Mus musculus: one gene and its partner. The protein of the gene in region 1 purifies or fractionates together with the protein of each later gene. This does not show direct contact. Links are inferred from orthologs where the notes say so. Each region holds a gene or a part of one and is shown in the gene's direction. Other genes may lie near its edges.

Region 1 (6,102 bases):
ACCCCAACAAAATAATCCGTTGTAAACAACACATGCAAGATAGTTTTCTTTTTTCTTCTTGCAGTCCTAGGAATCATACCTAGGGCCTTGAACAGAATAAGAAGCACTCATTCTATGTGTTATATTCCCACTCCAAAGACGGTGTCACACCTAACTCAAGTGATCTTGAGTTCACTAGCCTCCTGGTTCTGCTTCCTAGTTCTGAATTTTCAGAACTACCAAACTAAGCTAAGATCTCATTTCCACACAAAATTATCACATATGAAGTTGCTGGTAATTTTCGAGGTTTTTTGTTTGATTTGTTTTGAGACAGGGTCTTTCTTACTCTGTAGCTTTGGCTGCCCTGGAACCTGCTATGTAGACTGGCCTGGCCTCTATATTAGAGATCTGCCTACCTCTGCCTTCAGAGTGCTGGGATTAAAGGCAGACTTTATCAGCCTAGTCCTGCAATTTTGGTTGGTTGGTTGGATGGTTTTGGTTTGGTTTTTTGTTTTTAATTCTGGTTTTTAATCTCATTACGAGTTAAGTTCCTTGAGAGTAGGGGCCATGGCTTACAAGAGTTTTGTATTGGCAAGGCCTAGAGTATGCCTGGCATAGTAGATATTTTACTCAAAAGTGTTGGCTTAAAGCAGTAGTTCTCAAACCTGTGGGTTTTGATCCCTTCGGAAAACCTTTGGCACATATTTATATTACAATTCACAGCAGTAACAACATTGCAGTTATGAAGAAGCAATGAAAATAATTTTATGGTTGGGGGACACCACAACATGAGGAGCTGTAATAAAGGGTCGCAGCGTTAGGAAGGTAAAGAGCCCCTGCTTTAAAGACGTAACCTATTGATAGATGTGATATCTGAGAGGGTAACACGTAAGCTGAGAAAAGATGTTTCTCAACCAAAACCACAGCACATCATCAAAAAGTCTGTAAGGGAAGTGGCGTAGCTTTAGTGACCACAACAGAGTTTAGTGAAAGCAGTAACGGTGGAGAGGCAGGACAGCTCAAGGTAGAAATCCCAAAATCCGGAGGTTTTTAAGACCACGAGCTAAAGATGTCTTTGGGTAGGTTTGAAGACAGCCTTTCCAGCTCCCTTAGCTCTGGCTACATCCAATTACCTGTGATCTCCATAAAGCACTGAGACAGCCGCTCAGCTGGTAACGCACTGAAGACTTGAGTTGCCCGTGCAAAGGTACGAGAGAACTACAATGGTCCACAAGCCTAGAAACACACAATAAAACGAACATTTAAAGAATCTCATCCCACACTCTGCACTTCCATTAGGAAGTGTGCTTAACTGCTTCTTGTTCACCTGCTGACCTGTATTTTGTGATTTCTCTTATAAGTTTTTAGCTTGTTCCACTTCCAACGAAAGTCCAAGCAAGAGGCCCCGCGGTTAAGAGCATGTACCACCCTTCACAACTGCTCAGAGACAGGAGATTTCAGAATTTGAAGCCAGACTTAAGACTCCATGCCTCTGGCTTCCTTGGGCACCTACACACACACACACACACAGAGGATTCAAAATAAATCTTTAAAATATGTGAACTCTTTCAAGCTTACACCTCCACTTCTTTGATGTATCTATTGTGTTAGTGAATAAGAAAAACATTCACTCTGTCCTTTGAAAGCTTAAGATTCAACTTTGCCAACTATAGATTTTTGAGTCACCAACTGGAAATAAAAACGGTCAGAGAATTAAAACAATAAGCTAAAGCAATTAATTTTGCTTTTGGCCGCTCCTCTGCGGCCAAACTGGGTGGAAGACCATGACCCTCCGTTAGCATGAGGCATTCTAAATGTTTTCCTGTTTGGTGAAGTCCCAGATTCCCTCCGCCCAAGTCGTCAGAGCCAAAAGGATCTGAAGCCTGGGCCAGGCTCGTCCAAAAAGCTCTGACATAAGTGCGCTTGGGTGAAACCAAAGCCTGCGAGGCTGGTTTAGGGAGTAGGCCCGCCTTGCTCAGCATTTCTTGCCCGCAAGGCTCAGAGCTAAGGAGCTGGAGCTGCAGAAAATCAGACTCGCAGCCAGGGCTGGGTTCCACCAATCCCCTTCAGCACAGCGCGCACAACGCCTGAAGCACTCGTCCCCGGCTTACGGGCTCTGGGACATGACCTCTCCACCTCAAGACTTCCGCACTCTGGTTCCTCGCAATAAGAAAAAAAGCCTCTAGAAAATTCTACGAGGCTCGGGAACCCGGGCTTGAGTCCACCCCCACAAGGCCCTTGGGCGCAGCCACTTCCCGCCCCCGCGCCGTTGCCCAGGTAACCGAGGGGCGGTGGCAGCGGCGAGGGGCGGGACTTCCGGCAAGTGACGCGCCGGGGCTCGGCTACAAAAGAGGTCGGCTGCGGCGGGCCGGGCGGAACTTTCCAGAACGCTCGGTGGGTGGTGGAGGAGCAGCGTGTGGCTGAGCTGCGCTGTGCTCCGCTCCTTTCCGCTCTCCGGCGCCGGCCCGCTCACCGGTGAGTCTCCGGCCTCCCTCGGTCGCGGCGTGCGGTCTGGACCCCAGACAGCCGGGGAAGGCGCAGCCGGAGGCGGTTGGTCCCGCGTGGGCGGGGACTGCGGGTTCCTTGAGCCGGCCTCGGGCTTCGGAAGGCTGCCGGGAATGCCCGGCGCCCTGCCCGCCCGCACGCCTCGAGGAGGTCCAAGGCCCAAGCCAATTGGCCTCCCGCCTCATGCTCCTTGCTGCGTACCCCCGCGCTCCGCCGCCCGGGCCGGGTGGGCAGCGCTGCGCACGCGCGGAGCAAGGCAGGGGTGAGGGGCTGCGGGAGGAGCCGGGCGGAGGCTGCGGCTTGCGCTTCTCCTGGCTCTCCTCCCTCTCTTTGTTGAGGTTCGACCTCCCCCCCCCCTCCGCCTTTTCGATCAGGGTGGGAGGGAGAAAGGAAGGAAGCCTTAACGGTCGGCGCCGGGGGGCCCGGGAAACCCAGAGGGCGAGCCAGCTTCCAGGCCTGCGGGGCGAGAGTGGGTAAGCTGCGAGCGAGCAGGAGCAGGATGGCGACGGGGCCCGGGCACCTGCTCCCTGGAGCCGGTCTCCTAAGCCACTCCTCCACCCCCGGGAGTCCAGTGTCGCTTTCCGGCGAGGGTATGGCCTTTATCAGATGTACAAAGGCAGCGGTAATGTACTAACCAGTGGACGGAACCTATCAGTGCTGCTGTGGGTTACTAGCAAAACCTCTGGGGAAAGGAAACCGGAAGAAGCCAAATAATTCATGTGTTAGTGCAGTAGAGTCTGAACCAGCTGCGAGAGAGGCTTTCCTTCGCGTTCCCTGAAATCTATATTTTAATCTGTTCGAGTTTACAGCTGAATCATATCAGGAATTTTTTTTTACCTTTTAAGACGCGTAGGGAAGGCTGTATTAGTATGAAATAAATGCAAAAGAACAGATTGCTTTAGCTCTGGTAGTTAAAGACTACCCGTTAAGAGCCAGTCGTGGCGCACACCTTTGATCCCAGTGCTCAGGAGGCAGAAGCAGTTGGATCTTTTCTACAAAAGTTTAAAGCTGGTTTAAAATTACCATTTTCTGGTTTCAGGCTGTAAAAAATGGTGAAAGAAACCACTTACTACGATGTTTTGGGGGTAAAACCCAATGCCACCCAGGAAGAATTGAAAAAGGCATATAGAAAATTGGCCTTGAAGTACCACCCTGATAAGAATCCAAATGAAGGGGAAAAGGTAAGGGCACAGGCAAACAGCTCAGCAGCAGTGTTGCAGTGTGTGTATCTTTCTGTTCGTGCCTTAAAGTCTACCGTAGCTGTGCTTTGTAACAGTTGTTTCTAATGGGATGTCCTTTTCTGAAACAGTTTAAACAGATTTCTCAAGCTTATGAAGTTCTTGCTGATTCCAAAAAAAGGGAACTATATGATAAAGGAGGGGAGCAGGCGATTAAAGAGGGCGGAGCAGGTGGTGGTTTTGGCTCACCCATGGATATCTTTGATATGTTCTTTGGAGGAGGAGGAAGAATGCAAAGAGAAAGGAGAGGTAAGAAAAATCTGGCTTACCTGCAGCTAGAACGAAATAACTGCTGCGGAAAAAAAAGACTTGAGAATTTATTCAAATGCTTGTTTACACGTTGGTATGATGTTACACTCTGTCCGTGAACTGTCTTTGACTTCTGGTGTCATTGAGATTTTCTGTAACTAAAAAATAGCTAAGCCAAAAAGCAGGTATAACTAACCCCATAGATTCCCAAACAGTGGGGGTAACAAAGTGTACTAACTTAGGTTTCTAAGCCCTGTCCTCCCTTGGATAATACCACCTGCTCTTAGAACCCAGTGGTAAGTGCAGTGGCCCTTTCTGTTAGAAAAGTAACCCTGAGCAAGCAGAGCCTGAGAAAAGCTCATTGTCTGCAGATAGCTGCTGCTGTTGACTCTTGTTTCAGCTCTGCTAGCTCAGCTTAATGTGTTTAGTGTTTGGCCAAAAGATGTCTATGGGAAGACAGTATTGAAGGGTAAAATAGCACTTTGTTCTCAGTATATATAGTTAATATAAACTAGTTCATAGGCACAGTTCTAGAACAAATAGGCAGGCCATTAAATTTCACTTTGCTCCTTAAAGGGACTTGGAAAAACTGTTTACTATGTTTTTAGAACAATTAACCTGTGGGCCTGAGAAACTGCTCAGTGATTAAGTCAAGAGCATTTGCCATTCCTTGTAGAAGATCCAGGTTCTGTTTCCCACACCCACACTCGATAGCTGGCTCACCACTGCCTGAAACTCCAGCTCCAGGGGACCAGCAGCTGCTTCTTCTGGCCTCTTGGTTTTCACATAAACATATTTAAAAAACCAACCTATAATCGCAGTCGGCCTGCTCAGCCATAAGATGGTATGAGCTACAGAAAGGTAGACTGACTTTGGCTTAGATGAGTTTGAGGGCTTTTGTTAACTGTGCTGCTTTGGAGAATGGACTCCGTCAGTTTCCAGAAGCTTGCTTTTTCCTTTCTGTACTCTGTATAAAGTTGAGAAAGCTCGGACTTTCAATTTGTGAGAACCTACTTGCTTACAAAGTGAAAATGAGAAAGCAGCACAATGTCGTGACTTTAATTTTAACTCCTTACTTAAAGAGTAAGAATATTCGGATATTCAGAAAGGATTGGGACTTTCTTTGGTAATCAGGCAATGCTCGTGGCGGGCCGTGGATAAAGTCCTAGGGGAAGGATCACCAGCTAGGGACTTATTAACCGTTGACAGGTGATTTCATTTCTCTAACCTGGCTGTCCTTATGTGATCTCAACCAACCTACTTCGGCTATGTGGCAATCTTTTGCTCTAGCCAGATATGGGTCTTTAAGATGAGATTAATTTAGAGGGAAAAATTTCTCTGCAGCTGTAGTAGCCACCACACTTAAAATTGTATCTAGTATTGTACATGTAAAATGTGTCCATTGCTACAGAAAGTTCTGTTGGACTGTATAATATATAACAAAAGGCCTGGGAAATTTGAGACAACCAGTGCTAGCCTAGCAATAAAAACTATTGAAACTGAAGTAGAAATTGCTATTTCAGTAGTGTCTCAATATTGGCTTCTCCAGCCAATCTTGATTAGAAAGAATTTACTGTGCTAAAGAATGTTTGGATTAAGTAACTAGCCATGTTGCTTAATAATGCCTAATAAGTAAAACCTTCAAAGGGATCCATGCTTAGCATTGTGAAATGTGCCTGAACATTGAGTGACTTTTAAGGGTAGTATTTTAATTGCTGGATTTCTGAGAGGGCCTCTGTGTTCTTAGGCAGATAGATGAACTGCTCACATAATTTTCCTCATTTATGATTAGATTAGTTTGAAAATCAAGTGATTAGATGAGTGTTGTATATGAGTATAGCTCAAAAAGATGTATAGTTTGAGGCTGGTCTTCCATTATCCTTTGCCATTTTTATAGTGCCTTCAACAAAGAAACGTTACAGATGGGTGTTTAATGAGCAGTGTTTTATTCTAGGTAAAAATGTTGTTCATCAGCTCTCAGTGACCTTAGAAGACTTATATAATGGTGCAACAAGAAAACTGGCTCTGCAAAAGAATGTGATTTGTGACAAATGTGAAGGTAAGGGTTCCTAAGTGTTGGGTGTTGTTAGCTGGGTTGTTTATGAGGATAGGCCTTTGTAGATGTAAGCTG
Region 2 (5,995 bases), on another chromosome or scaffold:
TAATTGCTGGGATTAAAGGCGTGAGCCACCACACCCGGCCCATGAGGCGAATCTGACATCCATCCTCAGGATATCTCCAACCAGCAATCCAGCAAAACAGCAATAGCAACAATGGACCAATAGCAAATGCAGCAGCAGGGACCAGTGGCAGCAGGGCCCACAGCCATCACAGGCCCTCTCAGGGTTCTCAGCTTTATTCCCTTTCAAGAGTCCCCAGAATTACAAACATAAACTATCTGCAGCTGCCAAAAATGCTGTCCCTCCTAGAGCATGAGACAATCATAGTTATCGGCTGTGCACAGTCTGAAGCAGCCCCATATCCCACACTTGGGATTAAAACAAAATCATGTTCACGAAATATAACTGTGGTTTTTTTGTTTTTTTTTTTTTTGGTTGGTTGGTTTTTTTGTTTTGTTTTTTGTTTTTGCTGTTGTTGTTGTTTTGAGACAGGGTTTCTCTGTATAGCCCTGGCTGTCCTGGAACTCACTTTGTAGACCAGGCTGGCCTGGAACTCAGGAATCTGCCTGTCTCTGCCTCCCGAGTGCTGGGATTAAAGGCATGTGCCGCCACCGCCCGGCTATAACAGTGTTTTTAGAGAAACCAAAGTTGTAGGCTTTAGAGATGGCTCAGAGGTTAAGAGCACTGACTTCTCTTCCAGAGGCCTTGAGTTAAATTCCCAGCAACCACATGGTGGCTCACAACCATCTGTAATGGAATCTGATGCCCTTTTTCAGTGTGTCTGAAGACAGTGTACTCACATATATAAAACAAATAAATCTTTTTAAAAGAAAAAAAAAGAAAAGAAAAGAAAAGAAAGCAAGCAAAATTCTGGTCACTTGAGCTGAATCCTTCACCTTAGAACTGCAGAGGCTGCACAGTTCAGAATATAATGGGTCCCGAGAACTGAAGCTATAGGACATTGTGAGCTGCCTGTCACTTAACTTGGGTTCTCTGCAAGAGTTGAATATGCTCTTTAAAAAACAAAATTATGGGGCTGGTGAGATGGCTCAGGTGGGTAAGAGCACCCGACTGCTCTTCCGAAGGTCCAGAGTTCAAATCCCAGCAACCACATGGTGGCTCACAACCATCTGTAACAAGATCTGACTCCCTCTTCTGGAGTGTCTGAAGACAGCTACAATGTACTTACATATAATAAATAAATAAATCTTTAAAAAACAAAACAAAACAAAATTATGTTGTCTATATAGGTGTTTGCCTACAAATCCTTTGGTGTTACAGATGGTTGTGAGCCACCATATAGGTGCTGGGAACTGAACCTGGGTCCATTGCTAGACCAACATGTGCTCTGAACTGCTGCACCATGTCTCCAGTCTACAACTTTGTCTTTTTTTTTTCATTTTTTCAACAGTCTGTGGTGACATACACCTTAAATTCCAGCACTTAGGAGGCAGAGGGAGGCGGATCTCTGAGTTCGAGGCCAGCCTGGTCTACAGAGTGAGTTCCAGGCCAGCCAGGACTACACAGAGAAACCCTGTCTAAAAAAATCCAACCAAGCAAACAAGCCCAAGTTTCATCATAACATGTTCACACATGTACACGGTATTTGTATGATTTCCCTCCATTGCCTTCTTACCCATCAACACCTGCAGATGCCCTATTTCCCAATGTATCTTAAAAGAAAAAAAATTATTATTCAGGCTAGAGAGATGGTTCAGATGTTAAGAGCACTGGCTATTCTTCCAGAGGTCCTGAGTTCAATTCCCAGCAACCACATGGTGGCTCATAACCATCCATAATGAAGTCTGGTGCCCTTTTCTGGACTGCAGGTATCGTGCAGGCAGAACATTGTATATGTAATATATAAATAAATCCTTTTACAAAAAGAATTATTCTATGGATATGAATACACTGTCTTCAGACACACCAGAAGAGGGCATCTGATCCCATTACAGATGGTTGTGAACCATCACGTGGTTGCTAGGAACTGAACTCAGGACCTCTGGAAGAGCTCTTAACCCCTCAGCCATCCCCCCAGCCATCCCCCAATTATCTTTTAATGTATAATTGGTTTTGTCCCATGCTAATGAGTGTGGCTCTGACTGTACACTCTCAGCCCTATTTTCTTCAGTTTTTATGTATCGGTCTTCCTCCGTCTTAATAGGTTGTAAGGAAGTTGATGTCTTAAAATATTCATAAGTTAAATACTATTCCATCTGAAATGTAGGAAATATCTTTAGCCAGCCCCTGACCTACGGACAGGAAACATTGGCCAACACAACATACTTCCCAGGCCAAACCCTTTAAGTGGGTTGAAAAGTATGACCCTAGCATAGCTATTTTCTCTAACCTTATATAGCAAGCTTAGGTTCCAGGCGGCTATCAATAGCTACACCTGCATTCTTCTGTTAATCAATCTAGAGAAATCCTTCGCTCGTTTGGTGGCAGGAGGGTGGGTGCACCTGAGGGGTCTGACAGATCTGGGGTTCTGTCCTGTTTAAAAGCAGGGCCATGTGAGGTGTACATGGCGAGGCGGAGCCCGACGTGGAACGACCAATGGCAAGCGAGTAGGGCGGCACCAGGACCCAGCTACGTCTTAAAAGGGCAGCTGAAGGGCGTCGGGGGCCACGCCAGCACAGGCTCCTTCACTCTGTGCTAACATCAGTAGCGTCCTTGTCCTCCGGTAGGCATGCGCGCGCTGCGGGCCGGCCTGACCCTAGCGCTGGGCGCGGGGCTGGGCGCCGCGGCAGAGCATTGGCGGCGGCGGGAGGGCAAAGCGCCGGGGCTGCTGGGCCGAGTGCCATTGTTGCCGGTGGTCGCGGCCGATCTTCCCGCGCTGCCGGGGGGACCGGCGGGCGGCACCGGGGAACTGGCCAAGTACGGGCTGCCCGGCGTGGCGCAGCTCCGGAGCCGCGAGTCCTACGTGCTTAGCTACGACCCGCGCACGCGCGGTGCGCTCTGGGTGTTGGAGCAGCTGAGGCCAGAGCGGCTCCGTGGCGACGGGGACCGTAGCGCCTGCGACTTCCGCGAGGATGACTCTGTGCACGCGTACCACCGCGCCACCAATGCGGACTACCGCGGCAGTGGCTTTGACCGCGGCCATTTGGCCGCCGCCGCCAACCACCGCTGGAGTCAGCGGGCCATGGACGACACCTTCTACCTGAGCAACGTAGCGCCTCAGGTAGTCTCGGACCCTGGTCGCCCGCCCGACTGCAGCGTCTAGATCTTACTTTACACGTGCACCGTGGCGGGAGGGAGGAATCTTACAGTGGCACTGCAGAATCCGGGGTTTATCCTTCTTCAGCCTCCCGTGGGAAGCAGTGCACCAAGTAGTGACGGGCTGCAGCAATGCCTGTCAGCAAGCCACCCAGTGTGCTTCCTCAGGGAACCCGGGAGCTTGACTCCTCAGTCTACCCTGCTGGCCTAGGGCCAGTCAGGCCTCCAGGGCACACTGTTAGCACTGCACCTGCTCCCAGCAGGGTCTTGATTGTGAAGTAGGTTCCTGGGACATCCACCCAGTGGATGGAGATGGACAGGAGACCATATCCCACCCCACACCTTTTGTTGCTCGATTTTCCAGGCTGCCCAGGAACTCAAGAGATCTGCCTGCCTCTGCCTCCTGAGTGCTGGGATTAAAGGTGCACACCAGCACTGTCCAGTCCCCGTGCCTTTAGAGCTTGACCTAAGGTTTGGGAGTTCCAAGAGACCTTGGGGGTCTCTGAATGACTAATGTCCCCTCCTTCCTCCTTCCCTTGAGATGGGGAAAGCTTAGAGCATTGGAGTGCCAGGAATGGAGTGTGGCTAGCACTGGCTCAAAAACTGTAGTCACAGAGCCGTAAGGAGGGAGCCCTTCTTTGAGCCCTTGTCCTTCAAATGTTTGGGCATTGACATTAAGAGCTGGGGCATGCCTAATGGAAGGTCCGAGGTGTGCTCCTGAGCCTCGCTTCTCCCACCAGGTGCCACACCTCAACCAGAATGCCTGGAACAACCTTGAGAGGTACAGCCGCAGCTTGACGCGAACTTACCAAAATGTCTATGTCTGCACGGGGCCGCTTTTCCTGCCCAGGTAAGCCTGTAGCTGACGGGGCCTCCGACTCCTGTTCTCCAACCTTGGGCTTTCTGTGTCACTGTAGCCAGAGACCTTTGGGTGGCCTAGAACTCTGCTGTGCCCTCAGGTGCCTGGCCCCACACCTGCCTTTGCTCCCCACGTCTGACCTGCCTTACCACCTGTAACCCGTGGCTGCACGGGAGGCTGTCACCCTTGCCTCTGACGTGCTAAGGATTCCTGGCAGACAAATGAGCTGAGCTCCTCGGGAGGGCACAGAAAGCAGCAGCAGCAGCAGCAGCAGCAGCAGCAGCACGGGCTGCAGCACGGGCTGCAGGAGGCAGCGGCTGCTGCGGAAACCAGAAGCTACAGGCATCCACTACAGGCCATCTGGCGTGGCGCGGTGTGACGCCACCCGAGCACCAGGCTGGGGCTGGGGTTCCCCAGCATGGCCTCCCACTCGTGCTTGTTAGGTGTACTGCCTACGGGACAGGTTACAGTCACGTGAGCATAGGTGAGCATCAGGGTCTAGAGAGCTCATTCCTCTAGCTGCGTTTATTGCCTCCCATTCTGTCTGAAGCAGTATTGGGCAGAAAAGCAGAGGTTAAGCATTGGTCCCCACCTTACATAGTTCCCAGACCCAAGGAGGCACCAGGCCCAGCACAAACTTCTTGCTTGTTGGAAGTTAGGAAGGCTTCCTGGAAGAGGTGACCTTGTATGTAACCAGGCCTCTTGGCCATGCGCCCGGGTCTATCCACAGGACCGAGGCTGATGGGAAGTCCTATGTGAAGTACCAGGTTATTGGGAAGAACCACGTGGCAGTGCCCACACACTTCTTCAAGGTGCTGATCCTGGAGGCAGCCGGTGGGCAGATCGAGCTACGTTCCTACGTGATGCCCAATGCCCCCGTGGATGAGACCATCCCTCTGGAGCGGTTCCTGGTGCCCATCGAGAGCATCGAGCGGGCCTCGGGATTGCTCTTCGTGCCCAATATTCTGGCTCGAGCTGGAAACCTCAAGGCTATCACTGCTGGCAGCAAGTGATGGTGGAGGACTCACTGGAGCCCCTGGGGAGATGGGCTGACTCACATTAAAGGCAGTTATTTTTGGAGAGAAGACTTGACCATCTCTACTCCCATGATCCTCCTGTCCTGCTGCTTCCTCTACATCCTGGGTCCAGAAAGCGGGGAGGCGGGCCTCGATCCCACCTGGGTGAGACCAGGCTGCAGAGCAGCCAGCGAGATGAGTATGGCCTCCTGGAAGAAAAGAAGTTGGTTGGGACCAGGAAGCCAGGCAGCCTTCCCAGCTGCTTGTTTTCAGGCCCCATGTGAGACCTACCTCAGGGTCAGGAGGGATACTGGTGGAACAGTAATTAGTGATATGGGCAAGACTTCAGAGACAGGGAGACTGGGGCTGCCCGTCTGCATAGTCACTGCCCCTGAGGCTGACAGCAACAGAGCCTCCCCCATAATATCCACAGGCACTGAATCCCATGCTAGTCTCCAGGATGGGTGCATAGATCCTGTGGATGCTCAGAGCTTGTGGCACACTTTCCCCCAACACCCAGAGGGACCTAGGATACAACCAAGGAAGCGGAAGCAAGAAGCCCTGCAGAGGGACAGACAGACAGATCACCTGGGTCCCTCAACCTAAGAACACAGGGCTACCACAGGGCACAGGGCCAGGACTGCAACTCTTAATTGCTCTTGTGTTCAGTCCCTGCTACTAGTTGGCTGTGGTAAAGATCCCAGCTTCAGAAAAGCTCTTTAGGCTGGGGCTGGAGAGATGGGTTAGGAGTACTGGCTGCTCTCCGGGAAGTCTTGAGTTCAATTCTCAGAATCCACATAACAGTTCATAACTATTGACACCTGTAGTCTCATGGGATCCGATGCCCTCTCCTCATGTGCACAAGCACACGCAGACAAAACATTCATAAGTAAATTTTAGAAAAGGCACGCAAGGTGGGCTGCAAGAACTCGGGCTGCGGCTCACC

What was found.
Region 2: the proteins of Dnaja1 (region 1) and Endog purify together in Homo sapiens (affinity purification with mass spectrometry; 3 studies listed by BioGRID and IntAct, counting the BioPlex papers as one, with this or other methods). This does not show direct contact. The link is inferred for Mus musculus from reciprocal best matches to the Homo sapiens genes DNAJA1 and ENDOG.

Annotation. Positions count from the first base shown.
Region 1 is NC_000070.6:40,720,180-40,726,281, forward strand, and holds the start of Dnaja1 (dnaJ homolog subfamily A member 1), read left to right. Parts: upstream 1-2,288; 5' UTR 2,289-2,454; exon of another isoform or gene 2,455-2,662; intron 2,663-2,737; exon of another isoform or gene 2,738-2,957; intron 2,958-3,523; 5' UTR 3,524-3,533; coding exon 3,534-3,665; intron 3,666-3,793; coding exon 3,794-3,971; intron 3,972-5,925; coding exon 5,926-6,030; intron 6,031-6,102.
Region 2 is NC_000068.7:30,168,928-30,174,922, forward strand, and holds Endog (endonuclease G, mitochondrial precursor), read left to right. Parts: upstream 1-2,596; 5' UTR 2,597-2,647; coding exon 2,648-3,139; intron 3,140-3,914; coding exon 3,915-4,024; intron 4,025-4,133; exon of another isoform or gene 4,134-4,517; intron 4,518-4,518; exon of another isoform or gene 4,519-4,763; coding exon 4,764-5,046; 3' UTR 5,047-5,142; downstream 5,143-5,995. Other genes in the region: Spout1 (putative methyltransferase C9orf114 homolog), read right to left, coding at 5,166-5,258, 5,995-5,995. UniProt on the Homo sapiens protein: Endonuclease that preferentially catalyzes the cleavage of double-stranded 5-hydroxymethylcytosine (5hmC)-modified DNA.